2 separate regions of the Mus musculus genome follow, and region 2 is reported to be linked to region 1. Evidence: microRNA targets listed by miRTarBase, many of them from high-throughput screens and not tested one by one. Region 1 holds a microRNA gene; the other region holds the end of a gene's coding sequence.

Region 1 (7,118 bases):
CGGATTTCTGAGTTCGAGGCCAGCCTGGTCTACAAAGTGAGTTCCAGGACAGCCAGGACTACACAGAGAAATCTTGTCTCGAAAAACCAAAAAAAAAAAAAAAAAAAAAAAAAAAAAGGGCATGAAACAGAAGATTAATGTCAGAATTGCACCTAGGTGCCTAGCAGTCCTTGGCCTGTCCCCTCCTTAGACATGACTGGCAGCAAGCTGACTAGGTTTACCATGGATCTGTTTTGGACTGACTATCCTTTTCTATCGGACAAGAAAAATAAGCATTTCTATGTTGCTAAGTTCTTGGCTTATTTGTAAGTCAAGTGTAGTGAAACCAAGTTGTAGTCAGTACAAGGGTCCCCTTCTCTTCCCAAAGCGGCATAACTTAAGAAGCCCTTTCCCTGAGAAGTACACCCTGTGCAATTACCAACCATAAGCCATGTTTAGCAGTCGGGTGCTGGGCTTGGGAAGACTCCAAGCTTATTACTTTTCATCACTAGCAAGACAGTCAATATGACCTGATGGCCATGATCTCTCCGAGCTGATTTGATTTGCATGGTCAAAATAATATCAAAACAAGTAGCATTTAAATTTGCATCATTGGTATCAAAGGGGGAAAACCCCATTTCCCCCCATGGGACATTCATGAAAAAAGGTGTCCTTCAAGCAGTCACTGTACTGGCACTGTTGCTGCCCAGTAAGGAGGTCGCTGCTTAGAATACTTCAACACAGTTCACTCAAATGACTCAAAGTCTCTTGCATAGTTTAGGTAAAACTTTGATTTATAATTTGAAACACTGTGATACTGTGGTTAAAATGGGCAGGAAATGTAAAATGACATGAGCTAATCCTAAGGGTAGGTTCTATAGTTAAACAGCAAAAGCTTTCAGAAATGCATTCATTGATGGTACAAAGGTAAAGTGGATATGAAGCCAGTGTTTGTGTGAACCTAACAGGGAAAATGTTCAGTTAACCTACGTTAGACCCTTGAGGATGTGTATTTCTAAGCATTATTAGATTTATTTTGGGCTTAAAAATATTTTACCAGTTGTGTGTGTGTGTCCACCAGTTTCTGTGGACCACTGTGTACAGAAGCCTGAGAAGGCTAGCAGATCCCCAGAACTGGAACTGTGAGACGCTGTGCTATGGAGGTGCTAGGAACTGAAAATGGATGGGTCCTCTGCAAGAGCAGGTATGTTAACTGCTAACTCTAGCTCCTTAGGATTTGTCTTTTCACATGTATGATGTTTGCAGGTATGGCTCTACATACGTATGGACACATGTGCACTTAGATTATCATCAGGAGTCTTCCTCAAGAACTCCACCGACTGCTCTCCAAACTCCCTCCCCTGAGTCCAAAGTTTGCTGATACAGCTAGTCTGGCTAGCCAGCTTGCTAGAAAGATCCCATTTTTGCCACCTGAGGGGTGGGACCACAGGCCACAGGCTGGCCACATACTCATTTGACTTTACATGGGTGCTGGGGATCCAAAACAGTCCTTCCACTTGCATAGCAACTTGGTTAAACCACTGAGCATATCCCCAACCCTCATTAATTTTATGTTTTAGGAGCCTGTTGCTACAGTACTTACAAAAATATCAGCTTGATCTTGTCCTGTATAAATCTATAGGCACTTGACTTACTGATTTCAAACACTTCATTCACACATAAAGCTAATACTTAAGAGATACATAATCAAGTACTTATCACACTGAAAGCTCTGAGAAGCTCTGTAGTGAATATTTGTTTAACTCTGATTCTGCTATTCTGGTAAATTATTATAGTCTAATTATGACTTTAAGTAAAGCCAAGAGAGGGACACAACGGAGGCAAATGGCTTCCAAGAATCCTGAAGCCGTCGTGAGTTCTTTCAAAAGGCGCTGTTTGCTTATCAATGTAACATTTCCATGTTTCAAACAGAGAACCTCATCAAGCCAGTTTGCTTTTATGGTGATGTCTCTGATGCTGAAAGAGACCAGACTTCTGCCTGAAGGCTTCATTGCATTCACTGCACTTGTAGGGTTTTTCTTCATTGTGGATTCTAACATGCTGATCTAAGTGTGAATTTAGGCGGAAAGCTTTCTGACACACATTACATTTGAAAGGTTTTTCTCCAGTGTGAATCCTATGATGTCGAATAAGGTCGGAGGTCAAGCTGAAGGCTTTCCCACACTCATTACAGTGATGTCTTTTGGAACGACCATGGACTCTCTGATGGTGGGTGAGGAGGAGGGCCCGACTAAAGGTTTTCCCACACTCCTTGCATTCTCGGGGCTCATCCTGACTGTGAATTTTTTGGTGTCGATTAAGATGAGAGCTTCGCCTGAAGTTCTTTCCACAATGGATACACAGATAGGGTTTTTCTCCAGTATGGATCCTGAGATGCTCCAAAAGACCTGCATTCTGGCTAAAGACTTTTCCACACTCTTTGCACTGGTAAGGCTTCTCCCCAAGATGGATTTTCTGATGTCTGATGAGGTGTGAACTTCTCTGAAAGACTTTCCCACACTCTTGGCAGGGATGACCTTTGTCTTTAGAGATTTCCTGATGGTCAGCAGCAACAGAACTCTGAGATCCTACAGATTCCCAGGACATTTCTCCTGTATGTGCCCTGTCATGTTCAATCAGGCCTGAGTTCTGAACAAGTCTCTCCTTAGTTTCCAAGCATTGGCTGTTAGTTTTTTCCTTGGGCATGGCTGGATTCTTTTTCAAGCTCAGGTCCTCACACTGGGCCTCAATGGGTTCAGTCATGGTACAAGATGATTCCATTCTTCCACAAGAGTCTGTCCCTGCAATGAGATTCCCATTCTCACTCCTTGTCTCTTTACCTGAAATAGTAAATATATATATCACTAATTATTTTATTTTTGGTGTTCAGGGAAAGGAATCTGCAAATAGCAGGAAATACTTAAATAAAGCCATGTGTATAAATGTAAAAACATGTTATGTGTGTTTTATTTGCATGTATGCATGTACACAACATGCATGCAGTGCCAAGGAAACCGTAAGAGGCTGTCCAGTTCCCGGAAACTGGAGTTACAGAATGTTGTGAGCTGCAATGTAGTTGACAGGAACTGAAACCAGATCCTCTGTAAAAGTTTTCTTAAGAGATGAGATCGCTTCAATCCTCACAAAGTAAAAAAACAACAACAAAATTTTGCTCATGATTATTTTATATATATATAAAGAGTGATTTACAAGAAACTGTGGTTTTGTTTGTTTTTTTTGAGGTAAGTTTTCACTATGCAGAATAACATGGCCTAACCTAATCCTCTCCTCTCAGGTCCCACAGTTACAGCACCACCACGTCCAGCCTGACATCTGGGAAAGTGTTAACCAGATTGGCTTTGGGGAAGGGCAGGGGTTGTGGTGGGAGGTGATTTATTTTAAATGTTCTATATTTTATTATGTGACATATGTTACACACACAGAAGCTACTAAGCATGACTGCATATTCTTGATCATGATTTGTCACCTGGGAAACAAAAAAGCACCATAAATCAGGTCACCCGAGGACCATCAAGTTAAGCAGGGAAGGTACTTTGACAAATGAAGATGAGTTGACATGGTGCCAATTTTATCACTGAGTAGTATGTAATCTTGGAAAAAGTGTTTACGTTCTTAACAATAAATCAACAGTACCGGGAGCATAAGACCTTGAGAATAATGCATTCACAAAAACATCATGTTGAAATATGATTTGTTCCCCTCAGAGGGGATCTATAGCAGATTCAGGGCACAAAACAAAACTTGGCTCTTTAACTATGGAAAGAGAGAAAGAAGCCAGAAACTGGAAGCTAACTTCCCGTGAGCGAGCAGGCGAGGACACTGACCCAGACAGTGAGTGAATGGGGAGCCTGGAGCAGGGGATAGAATGAATGAGGCAGGAGGGAGCCAGAAGAGAGAAACAGGAAGGGGAAATGGAAACAAACAGGCCAACAGAGTGCGGGTGAGTGGGAGGCGCAGCACAATTCGCTATTGCCTGAGGAGAGCGAAAGCTCTATCTCTCGGTTCCTCTTCCCAATGTGGCCACAGTACTTCATGTGAAAAAACAGAATAGCATTTCCCAGTTCACTAAGGGATCTAAGCAAGGAGAGACATCTATACATTCGTATTTAAGTGACAGAGAAGACTACAACATAACTTAGTGAAAGCATCAAAGACATTAGAGAGTTCAAGGCCAGCTGATCTACATAGTTGTAGTTGAGATCAATCAGAGCTGCACAGGAAGACCCTGTGTCAAAAAAAAAAAAAAAAAAAAAAAAAGAAGGGGGTGGGGAGGGGAGGGAGGGGAGAGAGAGAGAGAGAGAGAGAGAGAGAGAGAGAGAGAGACTGAGACTAAAAGTAAGAAATAGAACAGTAACAAAGCAGAGCCAAAGAAACTGATTAACACCCCACCCTCAGCACTGCCATTCACAGTGATTTGAAGGAGCTAGGAAAGGGAATAAGGAAACTCTGTCTGAGACTTTTTTGCCTCAGGGAAGAGCAACAGGTAGGCTCAGCTCCACTTCTTGGTGTGTTGTTCATTCAAATTGTTTGGAGTTGTAGATCTTTTAAATCTTGACTGTGTTACTAAGTTTATTGTATATACAAAAACAAACAAAACAACAACAACAACAAAACAAAAACCTGCACTGACTAGAGAGGCTACAGTTTAGATTATGTATACAAATTAAGCCACAACAGGCCTAATAAAAACAAATACCAAAATGCCGAGTGCCAAGGCAGAGGCACTGCATGGCCTACCATAATTCAAATGCAAAAAGATGCCATTTGGTTCTTACCTCTCTCCTCAGGCTTCTGAGGAAGCGCACACCCAGGCTGCTCCCGTGCTTCCCTGCGAGGGGCTGGCTCGCCAACCAGCACCGTTGGTCTGCTTCTTTGGGCTGAGTCCTAGAGATAAGTACAGATAATTAGGAAACCGGTTTACAAAAAAAACCACTTCAATGTCAGAAAAGAGAACAAAGAAACCTTTCAAGAGGCTAAGAAGAGGCAGAACGGAGAGCCTCCTTACACTTCAGCCTCACCGGGGATGGCAAGGGTGAGGCGAGGCCCACACTGACCAGCAGTGAGCAGTGCCCCGCCCGCTGCTGTGCTCATGTCCGCCTATGTGACCTGGGGGCTCACTTCTTACTTTCCTGCAAATGGGCACCTGCACCCCTTACCTTCTGCTCTCCTGCTTTTCCACGGTCCAGCTGCAAATCTTCCAGTATTCCCACCAGTTCCTCCCCAGTCTCTGGGTGGTGCTCGAGCACCTGGACCTGCAGATCTCTTGGCAGGATGGTCAGGAACTGCTCCAGTACCAGCAGCTCCAGGATCTGCTCCTTGCTGTGGGTCTCAGGCCGCAGCCACTGTCTGCAGAGCTCCCTGAGCCGGCGTAAAACCTCTCGAGGTCCAGTGCTTTCCTCATAGCGCAGCTGCCTGAACTGTTTGCACAATGGCTCCTGCCCAACGCCTTTTCTGTCCCCTTGAACTTTGAATCCCTGTTCCCAAGCACAGTAGTTTTAACAGTGGCTTAAAGCACAGACTTGGATCTACAACTATGTCTCCTTAGCTACCTTAAACTTTAAAGTCAGATTTCTACTCAACTCTGCACATATATCCTAATCATTCAAGAACTGTCTCTCTGACAACTGGCGAACAAAGCTTGATAGTCCCTAATTTCCCTAGCCTTGCTAGTAGCCCCACTCCTCTTTTCTTTTGAGACAGGCTCTTACTATGTGGCTGTAACTGGCCTGGAACTTGGTACCAAATATACCAAGCTGGCCTCACAGAGATCTACCTGTTACTGAGTGCTGGGATTAAAGTCCTATACCACTACACACAGCTTCTAGTTCCCTTTTAAGGCTAATGTCACCAAGATAAGAATAAGTTATTTTCATGACCCCAAGAACTCTGCAGACAGATCACCCATAATGGGATCCACTGGCCAGCACTGGCTGCCTCAGCAGTAATGACTTTGCTGGAGGGATCAGGACTTTACAGAACCAGCACGAAATACTGACTGACCAGTCTGTCCAAGACAGACTGACAAGGACTGCTATTTGCTCCCCTTCACCTCGGCTCTTGTCCTTTCCCCCATTTAATTCTGAGTCAGGGCACTGTTTTCCTGTTTCTTCCCAACATGGACTTGCTAAATAACTGATTCTTATCTTGCTTCACTACCAATCGTCTCTCTCATTGGACTGAGCGACAAGTCGCTAAATTTAGTCTGTTAGGACCCCCCCAGGCCAGACCTCTGACACCATGAACAACAGTGGTTCTCTCATTACCTGAAGCTCCTCCTTCAGATTCAGGGGAGCCAAAGAGTATGCACGCTTGCTAGGGTGGATCTGGGAAGAGGTATGTGTGGGAACAGAATATGATCAGAACATGTTGTTGAAAACTCTCAAAGAAGTTAAAAAGAAAAAAAAAGGAAAGATGATGAACACGCACTCACCAAGGCCAGTGCCATCCCTTGCTTCAGGCACTCTGTTTTGGAGACTTTTCTCTTGACTGTATCCTGAGAGACACTCCTAAAAACACAAGTCACAGAAACAGCCGTGCTAGTAATAACAACAGCAACAAGTCATCTTTCCTGAGGGTTGTTTCCTTCTAGTCATTTGTGTTCTCCAAAGTAGCTACTCTTAAGAATATATAAGCAAAATGAGAAAACTTTCATAGGTTGCCACCTAAACTAGAAATTGGAATAGATTTGAAAAACTGCCATTTAAAACTCTCAAATGATTCAGGTGAGAGGCACACACGAATGCTAAAAGCACGGGGTGAGAAGAGGGGAGAACAGAGCATTCTCAGTGCTAACCAGCTGCTGTGTAGCAATAAAAAGAAGATAAAGGTACCTGGCAGCTGCAAATGTACCCAAAAGACCAAGTGTAGCAGCATCAACAACAAGGCCCCATTACCTATGGAACACTTTTAATAAATATTATTTATCATGAATTTCCTGAGGAAACTTTCTGAGAAATCCAGAACTCAGACAATCTATGACAGGCATGAATCCAATTTCCCCAAAGCAAAAAAGCAGATGTATGCTAGGAGGTTATTGTTCTAGATTAAGGAGACACAGCTAAGTGAACCACTTGAAATCCAATGCTTGCATTAAAAACAAAACAGCAAAGATTTAAAGC
Region 2 (7,118 bases), not on the chromosome of region 1:
TTCCTGTAACTTTGTTATTGAGGTTTTTTTTTTTAAGGTGTGTGTGTGAGTGTGTGTGTGTGTGTGTGTGTGTGTGTGTGTGTGTGTGTGTGTGTGCATGCGTGTGTATACCAGAACCTTCAAAGACTAGGTGATCCGGCATCAGATCACATGGAGCCGGAGTTACAGGTGGTCTCGAGACCTGCTGTGGGACCTGAGAACCAGACACCTCCAAGAGCAATCTTAACTGTTGAGTCAGCCTTCCTCAGCCCGCCTCCTCTTCTCTGAGACAGTGGCCCATCCCACCGTGTCCTCTGCAGGAGCTGCAAGTGAGCTATTCATTTCCCCAGCCCCAAGCACCCAAGCTGCCCTTCCCCCTGACCTGAGCTCAGTTCCCCGCACCCACAGTAGGTGGTTTACAACCACCTGTAACTCCAGTTCCAGGGAGTCCAAAATAATAAAACCTCTTTTTAAAACTGGTGATTTAGAGCTGGGGTGGGGGGTTGTGCCCTTGCCTCACAGGTTCAAGACCTTGCCTTCTACACCCCCTCCAAGCCCACCCCACCCCCGGCACTGCAGTAAATTAGGAAATCAAATTCATGGTTTATTTTCCACAGTGAAAATAGAGAAAGAAAGGGGTGGAAAGAAAGACCGGGTAGAAAAAACAGCAAGGCAGTAAAAGTCTCTGCCTCCTCTGCCTGGCAACACACACACACACACACACACACACACACACGAACCTGAACTTTATTTCCCCAACTTTCTTATCAGAGTCCCTCTATGCAAATAAGGGCATCTGGATATGGGGGGTGTTGGTATAAGCGGGCTACTAAAACCATCTGCTTTGAGTCTGTGATTGGTTTCTCCTGAAAAGTTCTTTGCATGTGGGGTAGAGTTCCGGACCTATAGCATCCTGCCCCCGTGTCCCCATCCCTGCTCGCCGAGCATTCCCTCTAGGCATCTGGTGCAGGGGCTGGTTAGGGAATCTGCCCGGGCTACGGGGGTGTGTGTGTGTGTGTGTGTGTGTGTGTGTGTGTGTGTGTGTGTTGGGTCCATTTATCCCTCTGAGAGTCACAAGACAGAGGGCTGTGCTCAGTCAAGTGTAGCCTGCCCCCTGCTGTGACCTGCAGCTGGGCACCTGCTACCCAGACTCTCCCTTGACCTTGGGCCCTGACTGTGGGTCTCTGGTGGCCCAGATCCCCTGCTGTTTGTGTACAGCAAACAGACTGGTCTGGCTGGCATTCTCGTCCCAAGACAGCTCAGCTCACCAGGCAGTAAGTAGTGAGCTGGCCGTCACTTGTTGCCTGTGCTCCTCCCCAGAGAAGCAGCCCAGAAAGCAAACAAAATCTGGGACTATGTGGATTCCCAGGGTCCGGGTAAGGTTGGCTGAGGCCCCTGTAATTCCCTAGGGAACCAACCCATGGGTTGGATAATGAATTCTAACCAACATTTGTCACATCCCCAGGCATTTTTGATTGTCACAACCTGGGACCTGGAGATCCTGGTATCTAGCCGATAGAGGGTCCCACTTAGCATCTACCACACACTGTTCCCAACAAAAGAATATCTTCTTTCCCTAATGTCAGTAGTGACTGTCCCCTGAAGCCCGACCAAGACAGTGGAGGGGCTCCCTCCCCAGGCTGGCTGGTCCAGGCATCTGCCCTCTTTGCAGATAGGGTCTTGCTTCTTGAGCTAGACTGGGTCAGACATGATCCTGGTCTGGTGGAGTGGATAGGGTGAGACTTCTGCACCAGATCCCTATAGGTGAGGCTAGCAGAGCAGGGTTGGGGCACCGTGGGCTGCCCCCAATAACCCCAACACTCCTACCCATCCCCCTACCCATCCTCACCCAGACCTGGGTAGGCTCAGAGACAGCTAGGGGCAGTTGGTGATGGCTGGCTGGCACTCAGGGGGATCCAACTGCAGGGTGTCCGGGTGGGGCTTAGGTGAGAATAGAAATCAGGCCCTACAAGGAGAGTGACAGCCGAGCTCCAGATATTCAGGGCCCCCTCCCCTCAACCCAAAACATACACTCCAGGAGCCTAGGAGAGAGTGGGGTGTTTGTGGTGGGAAAGGGAGGCACAAGATCTCCTGCGCCCAGAACCCTGGAGTCCTGGCAGGGTTGGGACCTCTGGATTGGGACTCTGTGAAACCTTCCCAGGTCCCCACCCCTTGCACCCTCAAAGTGCCCTGGGAGGGTGATGTGAACTTCTGTCTCTTTATGGACACTTCAGGGAGCGTCTCCTCCTCCCCCTGGCTTGGGGGAACCTGCAGGCAGACAGCTGGCTAGGATGAGCCTCCTAACCCCCTCAGCTCCTCTGTGGAAGGCAAAACCCTGAAGCGACCTTTCATCTGGCTAGTTCTACTGCAGACCTCGGGCAGAGACTGCTGTATCTTCCCAACTCCAACCCAGATGGAGCAGGACAGTCAGGCCACACCATGAGGATGCTCTGTGGCCCAGAGTTACTACCATTCTGAAATGGTCATTTGAAGCCTCCACAACTTCTTCAGAGCTCCAGTCTCTCCTTGTAAAGAGGAGGAACAACAGTCACTCCTCTTGATACACCTATGGGTACTTGGGGGACAGTTGTCTGGTCCCAGCCCTCCAGCCTGGCTATTTGGATTTCCTGTGCAAGTAGGCCACCCACCAATATGTTTCCCCCTACACATCAGAGAACTGCCAAGATATGCCAACATATACCTCCAAGCCCCAACCCAGCTATTGCACCCACCTTGGGAATCCAGTGCCTGGGACAAACAGAGTTAAGTCCAAGGTCAGACAGCAAATGATCCAGTCTAGAGGCCCAATAGTCTAGGGAGGACACACTTGAGTGCTATGCTTGAATGTGACTTTTGTGTGAGTGCTCTTCAGTATATCCAAAGGTTGTCACTCCTATTTTACAGATGAGCAGAGACTAGGGAAAGGTGAAAAGGACTGTGGAAGGCCACAGCTAGTAATCAACCTTTGATCTCTACACATGCTATAGAACTCTCCTCTCACTTCCTGTCACTTCCTGCTACAAGGCTAATTGAGTCTCTTTGAGAGTGCTGGTCTCAAAGAGTCACCCCCACCCCATTATTAACACCCCAATGGGACCCACCACCCCCACTCGTGGCTATTAACAGATACCTTTCCTCAACTAGGATGAGGTCAGAGCCCCAGAGGGCCCAAGGAGGATGAGGTCAGAGCTCTCTGGCTGGTGCAGATGCTAAATAATTCATGCTGCTGCTGTAAACGGGGCTGTAGCTTCCTGGAGGACCCAGCCCTGAGACAGCAGGCAGGAAGTCTGCTTAGCAGCCCCCTGAGCACAACCTTGGCGTGCCCTCTGCAGAGCAGGAGGGGGTGCTGGTCTTGGTGAGAATGTTGGTTGGTGCCTGTGCGGTGACAGCTGGGTAAGCCAGCCAACCTTTCTGTGTCTTGCTTTCTTCTGCAAGAAGCCGAAGTGCTGCTGCTGAACAAGTACAATGGGCCACAAGAGCAAGCTGGGTGTGGCCATGACAGGGCCCCCAGGCTTGGGGCAGCTGTTTGTGATCATCTCTGGCCCAGCATGCCTGTGAACAAAGCATTTTAACAAAGAAGAAACGGTCTGTGCCCTGCCTCCCAACCATGCCAGGCATAGCTGGGTAGTTATCTGAGGGTGTCCCCTTTCCCACCGTACCCCTCCTACATCTCACGTGGGAACCGTTTTGTCTCTCCGCCTGGCTGGTTAAGAATTCAATGTTTGTTTGTTTGTTTCTTCTATGTAGTCCTGGCTGTCCTGGAACTCACAAAAGATCTGCCTGCCTCTGTCTTCCAAAGTGCTTAAAGGCTTGCAACACTGTATCCAGCTGAGAATTCAAATATCTTTCAGCGGCCTGGTTTTCTCCTTTAAAGTCTCTAACCGGAGAGAAGTTAGTTAGTTGTAATCCAACAGCTACTGTAGCTGAGATGGGGGAATGGGGAGAGAGAGGCAGGCAAGGCAGCTGACACTGACATTCCACAATCACTTAGAAACACACAGGAACAGAGGCAGTAACCCCTCACAAAGAAAGGGCAGTCGTTTAATTCTGAGCAGTTACAAGGTTGAGCCTCCCTTTACATCCACTATAGGATTTAATAGGGTCCGTGTGACATTTATTAAGGGATAGTGGCCTGCAAATGATGAGCTTGGATCAAGCCTGGACCTACTTGATGTCTCCCACTCAAGGCTTGTGTATGATACAGAGCTGTTCATTTGGAGGCCCCCAACCCTCCTAAAAAAAAAAAAAAAAAAAAAGTACTTTTTTTTGTTGTTGTTTGTTTTGTTTTTTTGAGACAGGGTTTCTCTGTATAGCCCTGGCTGTCATGGAAATCACTTTGTAGACCAGGCTGGCCTCGAACTCAGAAATCTGCCTGCTTCTGCCTCCCAAGTGAAAAATGTACTTCTCCACTGGAACTGGAACTAAAAGTCGCAGGGTTGCCATGAAGGGTAACCATGACACTCCCAAATAGCCTACATCCTCCAGGAGCCTCCAATCACTCCTCAGCTTCAGGTGCAGGCAGGCCTTGGGCTATAAACACAGCCACACCCACCACAGGCTACACACCTAGGGATGTGGGGCTTTCTGCATCCTAAAGGACTCATTTAAGACAGCAAACTAGTCCCTCGCTTACTGCGGCAGATCTTGGGGCTCTAGATCAAGAACAGTGTGAGGTGCATGGAGACCGGTTCCCTTGTGGAAGGACCAAGCATCCTCAGTCAGCAGAGGGCAAGAGGAGTATCATTTGGAGGTATGGTCCTACTCTGTGGGAACCTTTCATCCAATGATAAAAGGCACAGGTTGCTGGGGATGGCATGAGAACTAGGCATGGAGTGCCTGGCTATCCTGGGAATCCACTCATCTTTACCTCTACCTTGGCACTAAGCAGGACTGGGCTGAGGGCCAAGTTAGCACACTTGGGGGAAAGGGTATAGAAGAGGCTCTGTCTGGTACCCAAAAGTAGAACAAAGAATGATGTTCTGGAGATCTCGAGTCCAGGGTCTGGTACCATGACACCATCTCAGCCACTGGTGTCAGCAGCTTGCAGGCCTGAAAATGGCCCTCTCTGACCTGGGTGGCCATCGGGTGCCTCCGGTGCATGTCCTAAGGCCAAGGACTCTCCTCTAATGTTGAAAGCAGCAGATCATGTCCATGTGTCCCAAGGACGGCTGCTGCCCAAACTGAGGTAGAAACTTAAGACGTCTTTCCATAAGCGATCTACAGTCCTGGACCGCACATCCCACCAGTCGGACACAGGAAAGGTTCAACTCACCCTGAGAATGCAGCCCTGAATTCCACCCACATGTCCTAAGGGAACTCCCAGACCCCACGTATGTCCTGGTAGCCCAAGCAGGTGCTTCCAGAACCTGTGAGATCCAGGTAATTCAGCAATATCCACATCTGCACCTGTCCCAGGAGCTACCCCAGGAAGCTAGCACAGAAGGCAAAAGGAGACTGGGGGAGATTCAAACAGGGGATTAACTGAGATACAAACGGTGCAAAACCCTAGCACCACTGTGGCCCACGGGCTCTTCAACTCTGATGTGGGTTCTCTGTGTGGCAGGGCTGGACAAGAAGAGCTTCCTCAGATGGGACCAGTGTAACTGCCATCTTCAATGGTGATGGGCAGTGGGGAGGACAGAACAGGCCGACTGGTCCTGCCCTGGTGAGGGGACACGACCCACTGAAGGTATAGTAGACTCCATCCAGATTCAAAGGTGCTGGGACCTGAGACCCTCAGGTCATGAGAAACAGCCTGCCCAAACTAGCCAGTGACCTCCTAGAAGGTGCAGCAGGCCCTAAGTAGGGTAAGGGACAACTTCTGTTGTGTGGCTTGTCTCCAAAGACTCACAAAGATTCACCTGATGTCCATTGTGAGACATGCTGACGGGACACCAACATGGCCAAGAAGGTCCGTCACACACTGGACATTCACAGCGAGACAGCAACCTGGAGAACCACATGGGAACACAGACACTGTGACCTGAGGGATGTGTTAAGGCAGGAGATGGGAGTCAACAGTTCACTCCCTGTAGCTGCAGTTTCTTGGATACCAGGAGGTTGGGATGGGCAAGGGACAGGTGGCCCTATGAGCACCAGTCACATATTTCAGGCCTATCCCAAGGTCCCGACTCAGTCCACTGTTTCAAATTGGTGGCCTCTGGTCCCTCCCAGTTCCAAGGACAGGTGGGAAAGCTGCTGGCCCTGCTCAGATGGATGCAGAGCATTGAGGGATCCAGATGAGGTGTGGTCCAGGGAAGAGGGCATCTACCATCTTGTTTTATTAGTCGGGGACTGATCCTAAAGTAACCAGAAAGAACAAATGTCAAAATGGAGGATTCTACTGCTCACAGCCCAAGTACTGAATTGGACTAAGAGAAAAATTTAAAGTCTCAGTCAGTCCTCAGGGAGCAATGCCATCTAAATATAGACGTTTGGAGAAGTCTGGAGTCTTCTTCCAATAATCCTTTTCTCTCAACAACAACAAAACAACCCTATTTTTTCCCCTTACAACTGGTGTCAGAAAATAGCTTCTGGCTAGTCCATGACAAACATGGATGGGCAGGCTCTCAAGTCCCCTTGAAGAATCCGGACTTGGCATCCAAAGTTCAGAATATTGTCCCATCCATGAGGAACAGAAGCAGCTCAGAGCCCAGGCCACTGGTCTGGCTTCTCCCAGGGAGGGCCAAGGACAAAAGCTGGGGATATCAGTCTTGGTCCAGCCACCTAGAGGCTCTATGGCAAGACTGTGTCACTTTGCTTACTGTAAAAGAGGTTGGGGGGCAGCTAGAGAGATGGCTCAGCAGTTAAGAGCACTGACTGTTTTTAAGGTCCCATATAACCCTGAAGTGACAGCATTCTGAGACTTTGGCTCTGGAAATGAAGAAGACTGGTCTTGTCCTATTGGTTGACCTCTCCCACACCCCTGCCCCCCATACCCACCATCCATGGAAATGATCCTAGGCTGTTGGGGGAAGACTTTTCCTGATCCCCAAATTTTAAGCACATGGCTGGCCTGCCTGCCTGCCTGACTGTCTTGTTAACTCCCATTGTAAACAATTCAGACTCACTACAAGCCAACCTACTCAGGCAGTGTAGCATGATCTCAGAGCCTGGAGCACAATGGCAGCCTGCCTCAC

What was found. The annotated mature microRNA mmu-miR-1896 reads CUCUCUGAUGGUGGGUGAGGAG and lies in region 1 at 2,199-2,220, shown strand. An mRNA with a match to its seed (bases 2 to 7 or 8) in the 3' UTR can be bound and repressed. Matches are read on the target gene's strand: a 7mer-m8 pairs with bases 2 to 8, a 7mer-A1 pairs with bases 2 to 7 and ends in A, and an 8mer does both.
Region 2: the mRNA of Gprc5c is a reported target of mmu-miR-1896. Seed matches in the 3' UTR shown: 7mer-A1 at 5,528-5,534, 7mer-m8 at 5,042-5,048 and 7mer-A1 at 4,281-4,287.

Annotation. Positions count from the first base shown.
Region 1 is chr13:21,443,011-21,450,128 of GRCm38, forward strand. It overlaps Mir1896 (microRNA 1896), which reads left to right and starts at 2,150; the gene lies at 2,150-2,230. It overlaps Zscan26 (zinc finger and SCAN domain containing 26), which reads right to left. Exons shown (of 6, transcript NM_001347491.1): 2 at 6,431-6,506; 3 at 6,264-6,323; 4 at 5,157-5,474; 5 at 4,776-4,884; 6 at 1-2,819. The coding sequence starts at 6,445. The coding sequence ends at 1,921. 4930470G03Rik (RIKEN cDNA 4930470G03 gene) reads left to right here. Exons shown (of 4, transcript NR_151504.1): 3 at 1,061-1,183; 4 at 1,912-3,820.
Region 2 is chr11:114,869,482-114,876,599 of GRCm38, reverse strand. It overlaps Gprc5c (G protein-coupled receptor, family C, group 5, member C), which reads right to left. Exons shown (of 5, transcript NM_001110337.1): 5 at 3,983-6,279. The coding sequence ends at 6,247. Among named protein-coding and RNA genes, the nearest start is that of Cd300a, 17 kb to the left of the region's middle.